Xenopus tropicalis: one gene and its partners. The protein of the gene in region 3 interacts with the protein of the main gene of each other region in a pairwise test. Links are inferred from orthologs where the notes say so. Each region holds a gene or a part of one and is shown on either strand. Other genes may lie near its edges.

What was found.
Region 1: the proteins of fhl2 (region 3) and nrf1 interact in binary tests that used the Homo sapiens proteins (3 or more experiments, as listed by UniProt). The two-hybrid records come from large-scale screens. The link is inferred for Xenopus tropicalis from reciprocal best matches to the Homo sapiens genes FHL2 and NRF1.
Region 2: the proteins of fhl2 (region 3) and rai2 interact in binary tests that used the Homo sapiens proteins (3 or more experiments, as listed by UniProt). The two-hybrid records come from large-scale screens. The link is inferred for Xenopus tropicalis from reciprocal best matches to the Homo sapiens genes FHL2 and RAI2.
Region 4: the proteins of fhl2 (region 3) and banp interact in binary tests that used the Homo sapiens proteins (3 or more experiments, as listed by UniProt). The two-hybrid records come from large-scale screens. The link is inferred for Xenopus tropicalis from reciprocal best matches to the Homo sapiens genes FHL2 and BANP.
Region 5: the proteins of fhl2 (region 3) and glyr1 interact in binary tests that used the Homo sapiens proteins (3 or more experiments, as listed by UniProt). The two-hybrid records come from large-scale screens. The link is inferred for Xenopus tropicalis from reciprocal best matches to the Homo sapiens genes FHL2 and GLYR1.

Annotation. Positions count from the first base shown.
Region 1 is NC_030679.2:87,138,907-87,142,889, forward strand, and holds the start of nrf1 (nuclear respiratory factor 1), read right to left. Parts: upstream 2,801-3,983; 5' UTR 2,655-2,800; intron 1-2,654. UniProt on the Homo sapiens protein: Transcription factor that activates the expression of the EIF2S1 (EIF2-alpha) gene. Links the transcriptional modulation of key metabolic genes to cellular growth and development.
Region 2 is NC_030678.2:95,074,054-95,078,307, reverse strand, and holds the start of rai2 (retinoic acid-induced protein 2), read right to left. Parts: upstream 2,801-4,254; 5' UTR 2,574-2,800; intron 1-2,573.
Region 3 is NC_030678.2:111,699,104-111,702,603, forward strand, and holds part of fhl2 (four and a half LIM domains protein 2), read right to left. Parts: intron 1,304-3,500; coding exon 1,129-1,303; intron 1-1,128. UniProt on the Homo sapiens protein: May function as a molecular transmitter linking various signaling pathways to transcriptional regulation. Negatively regulates the transcriptional repressor E4F1 and may function in cell growth.
Region 4 is NC_030680.2:65,815,711-65,819,894, reverse strand, and holds the start of banp (protein BANP), read right to left. Parts: upstream 2,801-4,184; 5' UTR 2,748-2,800; intron 140-2,747; 5' UTR 82-139; coding exon 9-81; intron 1-8. UniProt on the Homo sapiens protein: Controls V(D)J recombination during T-cell development by repressing T-cell receptor (TCR) beta enhancer function. Binds to scaffold/matrix attachment region beta (S/MARbeta), an ATC-rich DNA sequence located upstream of the TCR beta enhancer.
Region 5 is NC_030685.2:14,408,494-14,412,630, forward strand, and holds the start of glyr1 (putative oxidoreductase GLYR1), read right to left. Parts: upstream 2,801-4,137; 5' UTR 2,759-2,800; coding exon 2,721-2,758; intron 1-2,720. UniProt on the Homo sapiens protein: Cytokine-like nuclear factor with chromatin gene reader activity involved in chromatin modification and regulation of gene expression. Acts as a nucleosome-destabilizing factor that is recruited to genes during transcriptional activation.

The DNA.
Region 1 (3,983 bases), on a different chromosome or scaffold from region 3:
GCCATAATAACAGCAAACACATTATGACCAGGGCTTTGAGGAACATAAAGAACAGCAACGTTATATTTATCTGTGCACCCATAAGAGCCACTCCAACATAAAGGGAATGTAACACTTTAAAAAAAAAAAAATTTAAAAAATAAGAACATATATATATATCTATCTATCTACCAGGGCAGAGAATAGAAAGAAGCAGAGAATGTTTTTTTATTGAACATTTCTATTGAAATCAATCACAAATAACTTTAAAATCAATAGCTAATTACTGCATATACAAAAATTTGCTTCCATTTGCAATTTCTCTCACTAGGCAAAAAGGCAAATGCCGGTGTATATAAACCCTTTAAACTGGCACTATAAATTGGGTTTTGCATTATGATGTCTCTCATATTTGTAATTAAGCCCCATTAGCGATTAAATGTGCACCCAGTCACCTTACACTTAACTACTAATCCTAAAGATAGCAGAGAACTATGTTTATAAGGGTGAAGACACACAGAGCTACTAGTAGCAGCTACTTTTCATGGCTACTAAACCCTAGAAAATACCCTGCCATAGAGGATACTGAGAATTGCCTCTGCTAAAACACACATAGATACAGTTATCGGTAAATGATCAGCATTGTCTGTTTTAGTAGCCACAACAAGTAGCTGCTACTAGTAGATCTGTGTGTCTTCACTCTTAAAGGAACAGTAATACCAAAAATTAAAAGAGCTTTAAAGTAATTAAAATATAATGCACTGTATCCCTGCAATGGTAAAACCGGTGTGTTTTCTACAGTAACACTACTATAGTTTATATAATAAGCTGCTGTTTAGCCATGGGGGCAGCCATTCAAGCTTAAAAAAAGGAGAAAAGGCACAGGTTACATAGCAGATAACAGATAAGCTCTGTAAAATATAATAGTGTTCTCTGTTATCTGCTATGTGCCTGTGCCTTTTCTCCATTGAATGGCTGCCCCCATGGCTACACAGCAGAGTAGTAGCCTTCTGAAGCAAATACACAACTTTTACCAGTGCAGAGCAACAGTACATGATATTTTAATTACTTTTATACACTTTCATTTTATGGTGTTACTGTTCCTTTAAAGAACAGAAGACCTTAAAGCAGACAAGGGGGATTTAAAATGTAACACTGAAAAAAAGCAGCTCTGTTGCCAAAAATTTTCAGGGAGGGAGTTATATGAAGAGCAGTGTCTGTTTGGGAGACACTGTCTGCATATTCAACTAACCTATGTAAGCCTATTGCAGCAACCCTAAAGGTCCCCATACACGGGCCGACTATAGCTGCCGATATCGGTCCCTTGGACCGATTCGGCAGCTAATCGGCCCGTGTATGGGGAGAGCAGAGCGGCCTGGCCGACCGATATCTGGCCTGAAATTGGCCAGATCTCGATCGGCCAGGTTAGAAAATCCGGTCGGATCGGGGACCGCATCGGCTCGTTGATGCGGTCCCCGATCCGATTGCCCCAGGGCCAAACGATCGGATTATTTTTTTTTTTACCTAAATGCTCCCCGATATCGCCCACCAAGCGAGCGGATCTGCTCGTGTATGGCCACCTTTAGAAATAGCAGTTTAGCCTCATGTCTTATTTCAAGGAAAACACTGCTGTTTTCTAAACAGTCAACAAGTTCACATAATTTAAGTTTTAACTATGGAACGAATTTAATACATTTGATGCATTTTTTTTTTTTACATTTCTTCAAACTGTACAAAATAAAGGTCTACTGGGGGAACTGTGTTGCCATTTATGAATATAAACACACTTATTGAGACATGTAACAAATGTTAAAACTTGAAAAATCCCTTTTAATCGTGTAGAAAACATAAAAGGTAAATCATATATTTCCCCTTAAACCCAATAAATACATAATTATGAACAGCCCCACCCCCTCATTTTGCCAGATGTTATTGAGTTACAGACTCCACACAATTTAGGAAAAACCTTGAGAATTGACACATATGAATGGAACTGGTGCTGGTTCCCCTTGAGCTCAGCTTTGCCTTAGGCCATACAAAGGAGATACTATGCCTAACAGCACCAGCTGAACTATAACACCTTTTATTAGCTACTGTACTGCAATAACTGCTGCAGGCTAACAGGGTTTGCCTTATCCAATAAGGCTTACCAAAATACAAAAACACAACATACCCCATAGCCAAAATTATAATTGCAGAGGGAGCAGTATTTTCCACAACATGGATGTGACTTTTGATCAGCCATTGCATATAGAGCAGGGGTCCGATTATCTGGCGCCATACAGATTCGACACCCCCTGGGGAATAAGCTACATGCACTGCGTGTGCAAACTACAGATAAGATGTTGCTGAGTATAACACACAAACACTACAGAGTCTGTATTTTGGAAGCAATGGAAATGGATACACAGGCTCATTATTAATAACCAAGTCATTCTCAGTATTTCAAATGCACCCCGCCCATATCACAAGCACTAGGGCCTAGTGCGGCCTGCTGCAGCCTCTCTACATTCCTTGTTCCCCGCAACCTCTGGCTGACTCCCCAGTCTCCACTATACTCCCCGGCAGGCTTTCTACGGGGCGGAGCTGCTGGCAGAACCCCGGAGCCCGAGCTCCGTGTTGCGGCTGCGCCAGCAGGGTTGAGATAGCTGGAGATTGCGCGGTAGGGCACTCACCTCAGAGCGGCTGCGCTACAGCGAGCCTGCGCCGTGACACACGAGCGGGGACCTCTCTAAGCTGCAATGGCTGCGGGAACCCACGCTGCACACGGCCAGGACTGGGTTACGTCACTGACGTTCTGACGTTTCCCTGCTTCGGGACGTCGTGTCCTAAGAAGAGCGCCATTTTGAGAAGGCTTTCTCAAACATCACTGTTCCAGTCTGAAACTCTTTATATGTTTGCTTGTTGGTACATGTGAAATGGCTTGTGATTTTACCAATTATGTGGGACAGAAACAACAGAACTGTAATTATGAAACATTTTTTTAAAAAGTATTACAATGATGCAATGATTGCCACCAGACTCCTTATAGTTTTATCTTTCCTTCCTATAACTAACATTGATATCAATGGTTGACACCTGGCAGGTGTTTAGCCAGTAAAGAACAGAGCTGCTGTGAGATGTCATAGACAGTCACTATTTAGTGAGCTGGTGGGGGCTGATTGGGCCTCTCTGTACTTAGACACAAATACTGTTTTGAATCCTATTCCAGACCTGGCCCTACCCACCAAATTTCTGCACAATGTGCGACCGGTCCACCATGTTTAGCTCACTCCCCTATTTTTATGGGCAGAACGTTTTACTGGGCTCCATCTTGCTGCAGGCTCTAGAGTTACACCAGTGCAACTAGGTGTTAAACAACAACAAATGTCCAAAACTTTATAAAAGGGGTGCTTTAGACACTAACCTGAAATCCCAGGTGGTGATCCTCTCCTTAAAGGACATGTCAACCCAAAAATATTTTTGCCTGATGAAGGAAAACATCATTCTAAGCAACTTTCCAGTATGAATTTATTAAATATTTGTAGTGCTTTAAACATTATTTGTAAATGTATTTGCTATTAAAAACAGCAGTTGCTTTACTCTGTGTTATGATTTTTTAAACAATGTTGCTAAAGTCAGCCTTCTCCAGCAAGACAGGTCTGTTATTCAGGTGGCTTGTGTTACATTCTATCAAAAGTTGGAACCACCAGGGCAGGGAATAGAAAAGGATAGACAACAATGAAAAACATGTTTTTTTCAAAATGCATCAGATAACAGTACTGCTCCATCAGGAATTCTGCACTGAAATCAAATTTTTAAAAAGCAAACAGATTTTTTAAAATGTAATTTCAAAACATGGGGCTAGACATATTATTAGTTTCCTAGGGGCTCTTAGCCATGTGACTTGGGCTTTGATAAACTTTAGTCTTTCTTTACTGGTTGGAGTGATATCACCCTCCCAGCAGCCGATTAGTAAAACAATAGGAAGGTAACATGATAACAGCTCCCTGACACCTGTATTG
Region 2 (4,254 bases), about 17 Mb from region 3:
ACAAACAAGAGTAACAGGCATTTCTGTATCTTTCATATGAAATCTATATTATGCTGGTGTTTTATATAAATACACTGAGATTACAGTTGCACTTTGTATAACTCATGCAGCAGGATGATAGACCGTATTGCACAGTAACAACGTACAGTAGCATGTTTCAGTGTTTTCTAGATACCTTAGGAAACAGTACTCCAAATTACAGATAGACCCCTTATCTGGAAAAGCCCAGGTCCCAAGCATTTCACATAATAGAATCTTTACCTATAGAGAAAAGGCTAGTATTTTTAAATTTTCCATAATCATTTGGCCACCAGGGGCACACTTTCATTGGTGTGAAGGAATGCTGTGCAGAAAAGCGACCTAAAAACCCACATAAATAAATACATCTAAAATATAATAAACACATAAATAATGTTCTCTGGGCCCATGCATTTTACTTTTCTTTATAGCTTTCTTATAAAAAAAATATATAAGAGTCAGACCAGCACTGTGTTAATGCAGGGCTTCTCTTTTCATTACGAATAACAGTGGCCAAACAAAGATATTTTTTCCCAAACCTCATATCAATGGCAAATAAGGTCCCTGATACTTAGAATTTCTGATATTAAAAATAATAAAATTATAAATACAAACTAATTATTAATTAAAAAAAAAAACAAAAAAGAATAATAAATGCTAAAGGGGTTAATTGTAGACTTGGCTGTAAAAGGGTTTCCTGTGTGATGGTCGTTTTGTAAGTCCCATGCATTATGCATTAGAGATGTGAGTTCCTAAAATCCAGCATCAAATTATCCCACAGCACCACCCCAAAGACATGAAAGTCCATCCAGGCTGAAATAATTGCTTGTGCGTCCCGCGCATCCTGTCCTTTGGCCACCAAAAACCCAAGTGCATGAATGCATTATTACTTTAACATGCAGGCAGCTTCCGAGCAATACAATGGAAGCCAAAACAGTTCTGACCAGATCGGATTTACAGAAAAAGAGATATATGTGCAAAACTACAGCCCTGCTCCATCTGGAGAATCCTCCATTTTGCTTTTCATCTGCTGTTAAAAGACAATGGAAAATAACATTTTCATTCCAGCATGCAGCTCCATCTGACATATCTGAATTGGGCCCTGTCAGACTATAATTAAAGGGTCCTCCCACCTATTTTTATTCAAATACTAAGGTGGAATACAATAGTTTCTTGTGTAACGCCAAAGCATTGATTTTTGGCTCCTGCTGCTAATAATACATCTGTCACAACTTAACCACTTCACATTTTAAATGGGGAAATATTTTTATAATTATATGAATGCTATGAAAAAAATGTGTTTGTCTCTCTTTTCAGCATGGCATTGTCACAGCTTTACAGGACGGTTCATTGCTCTTATCACGCTCCCTTGCGCTCAATTAAAGAGATACTACATGATTGTAGTCTAAATGTAAATAGTCTTATTGAAAATAAAATATCTTAAAAATGAAAAAAAAACCCTATGAATCCAAAGAAGCACTCTGTAGATAGAAACCACCTTCTCCAGCAGGGACGAATCACCCCCTCCTCATTACTGAGCCACCAAATATATCTGCCTAGCCAAAAAATAAAGGAAAGAAAATGACCCCTGGGATTTGTGCATGTGAAACACAAGGCAGCAGCTGTTTGGCAACATTTCTTAAGTCTAAACAGAAAATGCGATGACATTTAATTTAGGAAAATCTGCCCCTTTTTTTTAGCTGCATAATGCACAAAAAGGCATATTTCACTGGAAATGACAAATAAGTCAAGGTGATATTTTGGTTACAATGGTCATAGAATAGATCACAGTATATTAGACAAGGGAAGACATATAAACAGAATGAATATATATATATATATACTTACAAAATGCAATATATACTTACAAAATGCATATGCATTAAGACAAATGGTTATTTAGACACATATAGAAAGATAGAAGGATGACAGATGATGATAGATAGATAGATAGATAGATAGATAGATGATAGATAGATACATAGGAGGCATTACTGATGTATCTATCTAACTTGCAATCCTTCAGTTGTTGGTAAACTACAATTTTTAGCCTTCAGAGTTGGGATAATTGTACAACTGGCTGAGGGCTTCTGCTTGCCCCCTCAAAAGATGAAATGTTTCCCATGAATATACCTTGCAAAAGAAGAAATGTGTACAACAGTTTTACATGTCAATAACATAATCTGTTCATGTGTGTGAGAGGCTGGTTGAGCCTGCCATCCCAGCAGCACAAGAACATACAGGCAGAGCTGTTCCTGCTGGAGAGGATCCAGGGTAAGGAGTAGGATCCCCGCAGCAGCCTCCATGGCTGTGTGTTCTGACAGCAGGGAAGGGACAGACCTGCTATACACATCCCTGTATCCTCTCATAACCTCCCCCCTCCCCGCCCATGGCACGGCTCTGAGCTGCTCTCCTTACTTGCCCCACATATCTCGCCACTATACATGTATATATGATTACGCTGTGCGGTGCTTGCCTTTCTGTAACAGCGCCTAAGCACTAGTGCCATCCTCAATCTCCAAATGGCTCGGTTCCAAGGATCTGCGCCCTCTTACCTGCCCAATTCCTGGCACTGGCAATAGTATCCTTCCTCCTGGCACTAAACTGGAGCTGAACCCTGGACTCCGGTAGGGATGTCGCTCTGCCTAGCGGCGCTACTGCTGCTCCATGTACAGAGAGAGCAGATGCAAGGAGTGCAGGGCGCTGGGTGTCTGTGGGCTCAGCTCCTCCCTCTCCTGTCTGTCAGTGGCACCGCCCGGCAAGCTGTGGGCCGGCTGTTATGCGCCTGTCTTCCTTCTCTGGCTTCTGCACCGTTGCCCAGTATATCCCATTATAAGTGTAATTTAGTGATTCACCGGGCACCTGTGCAACACAATTTGTGCGCCTCAGATTAGCAGTCATTTTAGATCATATATGCAATGATTTGATATGTTACCATGAGGCATGGTAGGGTTATTAAGAGTTTCCTACAGGTGGGGAGAGGGTATTTTAGTTACAAAGTAAAAGTCAAACCTTTCGAACCCTAAATGATGCCGAAGAACACCCCTAGCTTTACAGGCAGTCTGGGGATATATAGGACCACTAGGAGGGCAAAACTATATTGGCAGCAGACAGTGTGGGACTGGGACCACAGGGGCCCACCAGAAAAGACCATAGGCCCACTCTCCAAACTATTTTTCCCCCCTTTTCCTCACTCAACCTCCTTATTCTCCTAGTCTCTTTTATTTACATGCTAGGATTTATTCCTCCATCTATTTCTCTACTTTGTTTTCCTTCAGAAATAGGGAATGACTATGAAACATGCCAAATGGTTAGGAGCAGGACGGCCCACTGACACCTGGGGCCACCGGGAGTTTTCCTGGTATCCTGGTGGGCCAGTCCGACACTGGGAGCAGGTCCTGGGCCCTGGGGGTATAGGGGCTCCTGTGGCACTCAGTATATCTACATGCACAATCATTTCTAGAAACACTACTACTAAAATGGCACACATTAATTGTATACATTCTGTATAGCTTCTCTCCCTTTGGGTGCCCTGATTTAACACTGACACCCACCCTCAGCAAGTCTCCCATCATTCAACGCCTGCTGCTGTTAGATAGTGGCATTTATTTTCTGTCATCCTGTCACTGAACATCCCTCTGCATCTTTGTCTTCTGCACACAATTTCATTTTATTAATGCATTGCAGAATGGCACTGCTATTTCTGCCTTTTATTTCCTCCCGTACATCATGTCCTCCTACACAGTATATTGCTTTGTTTGGCTTAACGCCTTACCCATAAATTTCCGCTATTTGCATATCTTAACAAATCAGTATCAGAAAACATAAAGAAAGGAGGCAGGTTGTTATATTCTATCAGGGCTCTGTGCATCTTTAATTTTTAATTGAACAGAATGTATTGGTGAAATGTATTCTGTTGGTTATGGAGACTTTAGAAATATTTTTCATTCATGGGACCAACAACCTCAGACCAACAAATGCACCAAAATGAAATGTGTATGTGCCTATGTATGGTGAGCTGGTATAAACCATTTGTAAATATTGAAAAATTATATAAAAGGTTGACTGCAAAACATATCAGGGTATTAACAGGGGCAAAAGGCAAGCAGAGAGTGTGAGAAAGTTTTGCTGTTTACTATTAAATCTAGCAAGAAACAATTTTACAGGTTTTGTATCGGAACCTGCAAGTTACCACTTTAAAATGGCACATTTAACAGGTCAACAACACAATACAGG
Region 3 (3,500 bases):
TTCTAACCTGGCAGAAATAGAAATGGAGTGTACAGGATGTAACGGTAAAGACCTTAGGAACTAATGGGTTACCCTCCCAAATGCTCCATCTGGATGAAAAATATATTTATCCCTTTCCCGTCGTAATCATTTAATTGCATCTCCCTTTCTGTTCATGCAGTGCCTCTGCTCAGTGTACAGAGCAGCCATTTCTAGAAATTGAAAACAGCTACTATATTTCCTTCATAATTGGAGGCTGCTGGTGAAATATGTCATTTTAAAGCATTATATTATAATATATACAATATACTTATTGTAAATCATTTACAATAAATAATATAATATCTTATTTGATAAATAATATAATAATCTTATTATTATAGGCCAGAATTTCTATTTGATATTGTTGTAGTAAAGTTCAGCCCTGAAAGCAAAGAAAATAGTTAATTTAATTAATTATAATATTCAATTAATGAATTAGTGTCCATCAGTAATGAGTGAAACTGTCCTGTTTCACTTTGTGGAAAAATTAGCAAAATAGCAACATTTGGTAGAAATGTTTCCAAATGTATTGGAGTCAATAGACTTTTTTCACTGCATTTTTTTCTGGCCCCCCATTGCATTGAAGTCAATATGTGGTTTTCCTTGCTCCAACTGCATTGGAATCAATAGTTTTTTCCCTTCCAAATGAATTGAAGTCAGTAGCCAAATTTCATTTTTTTTAACCAAATACAATGGGTATATTTTCTCACGCCAAGGAAGTCAATGGGCAGGTATTCTAGTATTCTATTCCCATGCAAAAAAACATACTTATTTTTAAGCATAAGTAATATAAATTACTCTGTACACCCCCCAGAATAACATACTTTTCTCCCTGCTCAGAAAGCAAAATGGGGAGGTGCTTCATGCAAGACAAGGGAGTCCGCAAAAGAGGCTGCAGATCAGCTGCTTATAACAAATCTGCATGAAGGGAGAAAGATATGTTATTCAAGGGGCTGTTTAGAGTAATTTTAGGGGAGTTTAAAATAAAAGTCTTACTTTTTCTTTAAGGTACAAAAATGTCAGCCAAAGGAGTACATAAACATTAACAACATTTGCACTATGTGAGCTGTACAATCCTCTGCAATATTACACCATAGCACTCCTTACCTGGCATGATTGTCTTCTTACACTCGCTGCACTTAGAAGAATACTCATTAGAGTAGCACTCAGTGCAAATGAGGTGTTCATCTTTAGCAGCAAAAGGCTTGTCCACCAGGGATTTCTTGCACTGGAAGCAATGGAAACAGGATTCATGCCAGTGGCGGTCTTTATAGGAAAGATCCTGAAAAAGAATGGCACACTGTTAATACTAACCGTTCCTTTTCATGATAGAATTTCAATAATATAATGTTTATTTATAACGCTTTTGGTCAGAGTGGGACCAAACTAAACTTACAGGATAACTGATCAGGCTCTGATGTGAGATCTCATACTAGAGACATTGGTTTGATTCCCTGTGATAACTTCTTGTGACCCTGGGCAAATCACGTAATCTCCTGGTGTCCCAGCATGCTCAGTGCACCAAATTTATCAGTCCTATCCACATACTATTTTTTATAATAAATGGTATTTGTGTACATACTATTACTTATAATAAATTGTATTTATTAATGTTAACAATGTAAGCAATGCTAATGCAGTTATATATCTATGTCATGTCAGGCTGCACACATAGAGCACAGAAGTGTGATTCCAGTGCCAGTTCACTAATCTGAGCACTCACATTTAATTAACCAATTAGTCAAATAACAGTCAGACTGAATGCAATATTTGTGTAGTGTGAGGATAAGCATATAACAAATATATCACTTAATCAGTCAGTCACCATTTAATTTGGATCTTGTGTTTTGACCATAGAACAGGGAGCTGGGCAATGTTTTTATCTGCAGTGATAATATCCTTAAGGAAAATTAGAATCAGGAGGCTTCTGGAACATTAAAAAATGTGCTGTGGGTCCCATGGTGTGTGAATCACGAAGATGCACTTATAAAAATATTTTTTTTTTCTTAACAGCCTCTTTTTATGTGCGTCTCTGGTATCCATTGTGATGAACTAAGGATCGTTGCATAATCTCAGATTATACTCTTGGCTGAGCCAGGAGATCAGAATAAATCTGTCATGTTAACTAATGCAGACAGTGTAGAAAACTTGGCTTGCCCCTGAATCTCCTGTGCGCTAACTCGCAGTTTGTTTGTCTGAAAAGAGGATGAACAACTTTAATCAATAAATAACTATGTTTATGTAGGAGGTTTGTGTTCATCATGTTGTGCCTCTGCAGAATACCTTACTGTCTTGGTAAATATCTGATATAACAAGTATATTTATAACACAAACAAAAATAGCAAAACACATATTTTGCTTTCATAAAATTCCTCCCATTACAGCGATATCAGTGCTTTTATCTTCTACGTCTTGCAGCTTCATACCCATATGGCCAGACTTACTGGCTATCTAGGTAAAAAGCCTGGGGTCTCAAGGGCTGGATATTTCTGTGATATGGATACATGGATTGCTAAAATGATTTGCAAGCCCAAGTTGTTCTATGCTGGCTGATGCTGGTGTGATCAAACAAGAATCACTCACAATTAAGTCTCTTAGTCCAGAACCCTTAGAGACAACCATACAGTTCTAATTAAAACAGACAAATGTGTATAGGATATTTGGCAAGGTTTACTACCTGTTTAGCCAGGTTTACTCTATGTTTCCCTTATAATGTTGTTCACTGATGAACTTGGAAGTGCTAAAGCCAGCACCTTCTTCTTGTTAACTATATGGGGCACATTTACTAACCCACGAATCGTCCGACGGCGTCCGAATGCGTTTTTTTCGTAATGATCGGTACTTTCGGAAATTGTTGCAACTTTTTCGTAGCCATTACGATTGCTTCGCAAAAAGTCGCGACTTTTTCGCAGCTTTTGCGCCGAGTACAAAAGTTTCGGATTCATTCAAGCTTCAGTATGGAGACTTTTCTTGGGCCAGGTTGGAGCTGCAGAGTGCCATTGAGCCCTATGGGAGACTTTCCTTGGGCCAGGTTGGAGCTGCAGAGTGCCATTGAGTCCTATGGGAGGCTTCCAAAATCATGCTAAGTCTGAAAGTTTCGCCCGCTGCTTACGAGCGCTCAATACGAAAACTTTTCGCGCAATTTGTAATGGTTACAAAAAAGTTGCGACAATTTACGAAAAGTCGTAACGGCGACGAAAAACACGAAAAAGTCGCAAAATGTTCATTTTCCAATCGGAATTTTTCGGATTCGTGCGTTAGTAAATCAGCCCCTATGAGTTGTGATTTTGTCAGAGCAGTTTGGCTGGCCAATTAGATTACACAGAAATCAATCCTAAAAAGGTCAGCCAGCTTAAAGAAATACTGTCATGGGAAACCATGATTTTTTTTTAAGTTAATTTTTTTAAGTTTTTTCTCAGTTAATAGAGCTTCTCCTGCATTGAAATCCATTTTCTAAAGGGCAAACAGATTTAATTGTA
Region 4 (4,184 bases), on a different chromosome or scaffold from region 3:
GTACTGACCTGGATGATGGCCTGGATGTAAATCTTCCACTGCAATTTGAACCACTTCAGCCAGTTCCTGGCCTGACATCATTGGAAGAATAGCAAATATCCAGCAAGAGGGGCTTTTGTGAAAAGGAATGTGGAAATTCCTGCAAACACAAAATTGTAACATGCTGACGAATATATATTTTAAAAATAAAGTGTATGATATAAAGCAATATACACTTAGGGAATTGTGTACAAACAGAAAGAAACTGTCTCCACTCTGGGTGTGGCAGGTCATAATCCATCAGCATACTCAAGATCAGTGATCCCCAAACAGTGACTTGTGAGCAACATGTTGCTCCCGGTGGCCTCAAAGCAGTTGCTCATTTTTGAATTTCTGGCTTGGTGGCACATTTTGGAGGCATAAAACCATATGTACTGCCAGACAGAGCCTCCTGTGGTCTGCCAGTCCACATTGGGCTACCAAATAACCAATCACAGCCCTTTCTGGGCACCCCCTAGGAACCTTTTTCATGCTTGTGTTGCTCCCCAACATTTTTTTTATTTAAATGTTGCTCGCAAGTAAAAAAAAAAAAAAGGTTAGGGACCTCTGCTCAAGTTGCAGCATCTCTGCATCACAACCACTTTGACATAAATATTATTTGTCCCTAAAAGCCAAGAAACCTACCCATGCTTAAAGGAGAAGGAAAGGCTAATAAAGAGTTAATCCCAAGCTGCAGGCATACCTTCAGTTGTCTCAATAGTGCCCTTAAATCTCCCCATACTTCACCCGTTCAGAAGATCAGAAGCCAAACAGGAAAAAAAAATGCTGAGCTGGGTAGAGAAGATTCCCATAATGCATCGCTCCTTCAAGACTTGGCGACTTGTTACTGCAGGCGGCGCATGCGCACAGGGCAGGAGCGTCCGGTTGCCATGGCAACGCAGCGTCGCCGAACTCTGTGACAAGCAGGTGGGGGAAGCGGGGGACAGGTGCTGCGAGCGGCGGAGGGTTTGTGGCAAGAGCGGGGGGGTTTGTGGAGCTTGGGGGGGTTTGTGGCAGGAGCGGGGAGCTGCAGAATCTTTGTGACAGGAGCGGGGAGCTGGCTTGTGCTTTTCAGCCCATACAGACATGCTGGACAAGATGGTGGCGCTGTTCACTGAAACAAGTATGTAAGTTCTAGTATGTGTATCTATGTAAATCTTTCATTAGGCGGCCAGGAATATAGCGTTTTTACACAGCAATAGTAGTACTATTTAATAGTGTGCTTAATAGATTTTGACTTTCCTTCTCCTTTAATATACAGCTATAAAGTACACTTAGAATAAGGCAACTTCAACCCCCTACCCTTCAAAAGCACTATTAAAACAAAACTGAGGGCTTACAAGTTTACACAAAAGAAAACAAATCTAAAAGTAACACATTTCTTTTCTTATCTTACCATAATATATGTTTCTCTATCTACAATAAACCTCTGATGTTGGTATCAGTCTCAAAATCCTCATGGGATCACTAGTATTTCACTTGTCATTAATTGGCTCTGGGATTGTATAATTTATTTCAATAATAGTGCAGGAAATAAGGCAATCCCTTGAACCCCTGCATTCATTTTCTCCAGTGCCCCATAGAAATAAAATAAAACTCCAGACCAAAACATCAAGCTGAGCAATTACTCCTTTATAGAATCAAAAGGAAAAAAGCACCCAACAGGCAAAAAGACACTCAATTTCTCCCAACTAAGTGATATATAACCAAACTGGTTTTCAAAGTAAAGGACATTAAAAATTAGAAAATTAAGGAAATGTAAAAATCATATATTCAAAAATGAACAGGATAAATACCCCTTGTGCTAAGGAGGCTTGGGTGTCAAAACCCCGAGCCTAACACTTGAAACCAGAAAGGCTCCTATTCCTTATTCAATTTTCATATGAGTGGGGAAAACAGTGTGCTCACCGATGTCCAAAGATGGTCCGGGTGCTCAAAGCCCCGAACCCGTAGCTGAAGGTATCATCAAAGAAGAAGCAGGACGTAAAGCACTCCGGACTGCCAGGGTCTGCTAAAACATGATCTTTATTTCTTCACATTAAAAACAGGTGCCTGACGCGTTTAGTGCACTTATTCATAGGCCAACGAATAAGTGCACTAACGCACGAAACGCGTCAGGCACCTGTTTTTAATGTGAAGAAATAAAGATCATGTTTTAGCAGACCCTGGCAGTCCGGAGTGCTTTATGTCCTGCTTCTTCTTTGATACTAAAAAATAAAGGATTATGGCAATGAGTGTAACATAGACCTTTATAAAGCAATATGTACATTGTTGTACTGTTTTGGTCTTAAGGGAGGCCCTGTTGTGCTGCACTTATTTTGATAACGGGGCCCAATGCTGTCAGTGAGCTGCAGACTTCAGAAGGGAGGGAGCTTCAGTGCCTGCATGTTCTTTTCTCTACACATCTTTCTCTACTGCTCCCTTTGTCACAGAAGTTTTAGTCCAAGTAGGGCATGATAAGGAAAAGATGGGCTAGGGAGAGTTCACACTCCAACCTGTACCCTATCTAATCACTGTGCAGCTTCACAGGGACTAAAACTTGTGACAAAACAAGCAGTACAGAAAGCTGTATATGGGGAAACAAAACGCAGGCACCTTAGCTCCCGCCCTTCCTTCTAAGGTCTGCAGCTCACCGACAGCAGGGAGGGGCCGGCTAAACGAGTAAGTGCATACAACACAGACTCTCCCCATTTTCCTATCACAGCCCGCAGTATCAGATCGCTACTTACAATTCCCGCAAAGATTTTAACTGCAAGATTCTGGCCTCCTTCCTGACTTAGAGAAAATCCCGACGCCTCATCACGCGAGATTGCGTAATGACGTCCGGACGCAAAGCGCAGTGACGTAACACGTAGCCGTCTAATGGGAGTAACATGGGGATACGACGTAATTTAGTGTTACGCAATTAGAAGCGGCTATGGTGCAGTAGGTCCGCTCACAGTTTGTTTTTGCTATACTCAACACACCACCTACTTTTGTTAGAGAACAAAAAAAAAGATAAGAATTTTCTTTCTTATTGGTTGCCATGGCCTCCACGTCGGCTTCCAGTATTTCATACGCAGCACTTTATCATTTTTGCTCAGATTTTCTTCTTTTGCCAGGAAACGAACAGAAGACTTTTTTTATTGGTTGCGAATAGCACCTTCCGCTGTCGGATCCGCTTGTCCCAATTTGACCAAAAAAGGAAAGAGATTTTGCTCTAACATGGGTCAGATGAAATTAGGTCATCACTTTAGGGATTTTTTTTTTGTATTAAGCGGGCCGCAGTATTTTTGTGCAAACAAGGGCTAATTTGGGGGAGGACCATGAAATGGGTACAATTTATTTTATCTTTATGTTCTACGTACTTTTAAACCTATTAAAGGAGAGGTATATAAAAATGAATGTACCAGTGAATTATACTCTTTTAGGTATAGAAGGATTGTGCTTAAAAAAAAGTTGTGTTTCAGACTGATTTATTGAGAAATTCCCCTAAAACCCCGGTAGTCCCCCCCATCTGTTCTACTTCCTGCTGGCTCTGGGTACACTGCACTGTAGGATAGGAACCAATCAGCAGATAGGCTGACCTGATAGGGAACTGAAGTCTGTCTTTGCTTGTGTGACTGCAAGGTTTTTCCCATTTATCCAATATGTCTCCTTTAAAGGAACAGTAACGTCAAAAAATTAAAGTGTTTTAAAGTAATTAAAATATAATGTGCTGTTGCTCTGCAAAAAACTGGTGTTTTTGCTACAGAAAAGCTACTATATAAATAAGCTGCTGTGTAGCCATGGGGGCAGCCATTCAAGCTGGAAAAAATAAGAAAAGGCACAGGTTACATAGCAGATAACTAGTAGATAAGCCCCATATAATGGGGGTTTATCTGTTATCTGCTAAGTAACCTGTGCCTTTTCTTATTTTTTCCAGCTTGAATGGCTGCCCCCATGGCTACACAGCAGTTTACTTATATAAACCATAGTAGTCTTTCTGAGGCAAACACACCAGTTGTAGCAATGCAGGGCAGCAGTACATTATATTGTAATTACTTTTATACACTTTCATTTTTTGGTGTTACTGTTCCTTTAAGGGTTGTGGCACGTGAGGACATTTGTTGCCTGTGGGAAAGCTATGTTGGATTTCAGTGTGCAAAACAATGTACTTGTTGCAATCCTGCCTAATTGCTGAAAAA
Region 5 (4,137 bases), on a different chromosome or scaffold from region 3:
GCTGAAAGATACACCTCTGCCCAATCTATAGCAATATTTCCCTGCCCTTTTCACTATCCATTCTTTCTTCTGTTTACAAGGATGCTGTTCTACCTTCACAGACTTCAGATACTTCCCTGTATGCGAGTGGGGCACAAAAGAAGCCCTTACTAAAAAAGGACAAGAAGAAAGAACATCGGGACTCTGCCATGCAGAATGACCTTGTTGCCATGTAGGACACGAATGTCTGTTCAGATGAGACCAAGACAGGAATTTTTGGCTAAAGATCAATTTCACATGGTGCAAATAAAATACTGCCGACATTGAGGAACGGTGTTGGAAACATCATGTTTTCATCAAACTGAAGAATAAATGGTGCAAAATACAGAGGGAAAAACTCTTCTGGCTAAAAAAGCAGAAGTTTGGCCGTATAGTCATTATTTAGCAGAACAATGATCCCAATCATTAACACTGAAGCGACTCAAGAGAGAAATGTCCTGCACTGGCCCAGATCTCAGTTCAGAATCAACGGCAGAATTTGCTAATTGAGGAAAAGCATCATCCAACAAACCTGACGTTCCTGGAGAAAAATCTGTTTGGAAGAATGGACCAAAATCCCCCCTGCAAAGTTGGTATGGACTCAGCCTATAGGTGGCCATACACGCTAAGATCCGCTCACTTGGCGAGGTCTCGGAGCGAGCGGATCTTCTCCCGATATCGGGCTAATTTGGTCAATACGATCAAATTAGAATGACAGGAGTAGACGCAGTTGGTTCGGGGACCGCATCAATGAGCCAATGCAGTCCCGGATCCGACTAAATTTTTAAACCTGCCCGATCGATAGCTGGCTGATTTCAGGCCAGATATCAGCCGGGCAGGCCCATCGTTTGTGCCCATACACAGGCCAATAAGCTGCCGAATCAGCCCGTGTATGGCCACCATAAGAGTTTAGGGCCGATACTGCTGCAAAATGGAGCTCTAGGCAATATAAAAATGTGGGGGGGTTAACAATTATACAATATATATCTGACATAATACCTTAAAGGAACAGTAACACCAAAAAATGAAAGTGTATAAAACTAACTAAAATATAATGTGCTGCTGCCCTGCACTGGTAAAAGTTGTGTGTTTACTTCAGAAAGTCTACTATAATTTATATAAATAAGCTGCTATGTAGCCATGGAGGCAGCCATTCATAGGAAAAAAGGCTCAGGCACTTAGCAGATAACAGATAAAACACTATTGTATTCTACAGAGCTTATCTGTTATCTGCTATGTAACCTGTGCCTTTTCTCCTTTTTTCCAACTTGAATGGCTGCCCCCATGGCTACACAGCAGCTTATTATATAAATTATAGTAGGGTTACTGTAGCAAACACACCAATTTTACCAGTGCAGGAATGGCTGCCCCCGGGGCTACACAGCAGCTTATTATATAAATTATAGTAGGGTTACTGTAGCAAACACACCAGCTGTACCAGTGCATTATATTTGTATTACTCTTTTAGCTCTTTTTTTGGTGTTACTGTTCCTTTAAACTAATTTTGAGTTTCGGTGCTTGGCAATAATAAGAACAGTGTTGGACTAGTTATTCAGTAAAATGAGAGAATTGGATTCAGGAGAAAGAAAGGTTCCAGTGGCAAAGACCCAAGGGGGCCGTACTGCTAGTGCAGAAAGTACTATTGTGCTCTGTGCACCAGAAGAGCTTATTATCATTTTACTAACTGGCTTTGTGCCCCCTGGTAACTTGCAGGGAGCCGCTGCCCAAGGAAGGGTTCTCACCCTGTTACTGCCAGGACGGAGCAGGGGATGCTGGGACACCGGAACAAAATGGACCCTAGGGTCGCAAGTAAACTGAAGCAATCAGAGGGGTGCCAACAGCACCAGTGATTCAGCCTTCCCTTGTCCTTCAACAGTCTGTAAACACAGGATACAAATAATAAAACTAAATAGATCATACATCCATTTCCCAGAATATTTTAGGCAAAAAAAAAAGACAACAAAGATTTAAATAATAAGTAGAAAAAAATTGCTAAAAATTGCTCAGTGCAAATACAGGAACACCATAATACATGGAATAATGCATTAGAAGAATATATAGTTTTAAAACTATTGCAATGATCTGACCGATAGCTGTAGGTTTACGGGGCAATAATATAAATTAACCTTTTTCCCTGCACACCAGCAAAGGGCTACCCTGTGAGGTCACTCATTTAAAGTGGTTGCTATAGTATATGGACCTTAGCAACCAAAAAGCAACACAACTCCAATTCCAAACTGCAGGCGAAAAATGACCATTAAAAAAAAAACACACAAAAAAAGAATAGAAGACCCCTTACGAACGTATTTAAACAATCACATGAGTGTAAAAGTTAAATTTAAGGCTATTATCCCTTTACTGTCATCTCCATGTCAGTAAGAGGAAATCTTCACTACCAACAGAACTACAACTCCCAGAATGCTGAGTAGTAGGGAAAGTTGTGTGTGTATCTGCCATTAAGCAGCCATTGTGTGTGTCTCTCAGCAGCTTGGCAGCACAATCGCCCTCCCTCATACTTAATTTCTCGGTTCTTTGTTGATGAAGCAGCTGAAGTCCCAGCCCCAAGGAGCAGGGAGTGAGGCGACACAGGCAGCCCTTTCAACTCAGGCACTGCCTGTCCTTCCCCATTTGTATACAGAGCTGCGCACTCAAGGCCTGCGCGGCCTGCCCTGCCCTACAACCATTCCCACAGCAACACTCACCACACCAAATCTCCTTGTCGCAGGCTCACTGCCGCCATCTTACCGACACAGCCAGCAGCGGGGAAGGGGTAGGAAAAAAAATTAGCTGCGCGGAGGATGCTGGGAACAGGAAACGCTCCCTCCCACCCAAACGCCGTGCGCGGCTCCCCAAGCTGCGACGAATACCCACCCTGTTCCTCCCACCGCGGCGAGCCAATGAGCAGCGTAAAAAAAAATATCGATGAAGCCCAACCAATGATTGGACAGACGTCAGTGTTAGCCACGCCCAGCGTGTCTGCGGAAGCGCGCCCGTACACCAAAACCGTCTCCTATTCGCTATTGAAGTCACGTGAGGCGCTTCGCTCTCTGTCAATGCTTGTTGTTGTTGTCGACGGCGCCGCCGTGGGAGGTCATGTGACTAAGGAGGCGCTAGCTCGCTGGCTTCTACAGACCACGTGACGCCGCCGCCGCTGCTGCCGGTGACGTTGCTTTCCACGGCTGTCAACCCTTCTCCAAGTACGGGGTCTCCGGACTGGGGAGCGCCGCGGTGAGTGGGTGGGGACTGTTGGGTACGGAAGTTGAGTTCCTCTTTATAAACACGTCAGTTTATGGTGTTGTTTAGAAGCACTTCCGGGTACTTTCTCTTCAGCCGCAATGGAATCTTCCCGCCCCCTCTGTGTGCAGTGGCGCGACCCGTGGCTATAAAACCAGGTGTTCGCTTGTCAGATGTGTCACTTACGCCTTATACGCGGTTGTGCCAATTGTGTTTTGCTTTGTTTTTGGCGGGCAAACTGCGTAGTGTCAAATTCCAGCACAGCCCCATGCATTTCTAGTATTGTTTTCACGCAATAAAGCACATTACCAGACTATAGTCAAGTGAACCGAATTAAATAGACTTAAGTCTTGTTATTTTGAGAGGGTTTTTTTTACCTCCACACGTTTTGCTTTTCATACTGTAGGTTGGCACTGAGACTTTAATGCGCCAGTACCACAAAGAAGTCCCATAACCTTCGCCCACATGCTGATTTTTTATTTAATATATACTCCCAATATGTTGGTGAGGCTCAAGGCCTTTATTTTCGTATTAAACACAAAGGGGGCTTTCTACAGGTTTGACCTTGGAGGGGGGGGGGGGGATAAATACTGGTCTTCCTGGCATTGTTATTTGTCTTTTTTTCTTTTAAAGGGTAAGTTATGCCTACAACGCACGCCACAGTATATTTTTAAGTGAGGTTCTAACCAGTGATCATCAAACTGTCAGAGCCCTCAAATGTCTTCATCTAGCGGCATTTGGGAATATTAACCTTTTCCATGCCGCAAAACATCCAAGTTGCTGCCTATCAAGTGCTGGCACCATTGATTCCCTTTTATCCTATGGAGCAGTATCATTTGCACCTGCTGTGTAAAAAAACAGTAAACAATTCTTTTCTTGTGCATC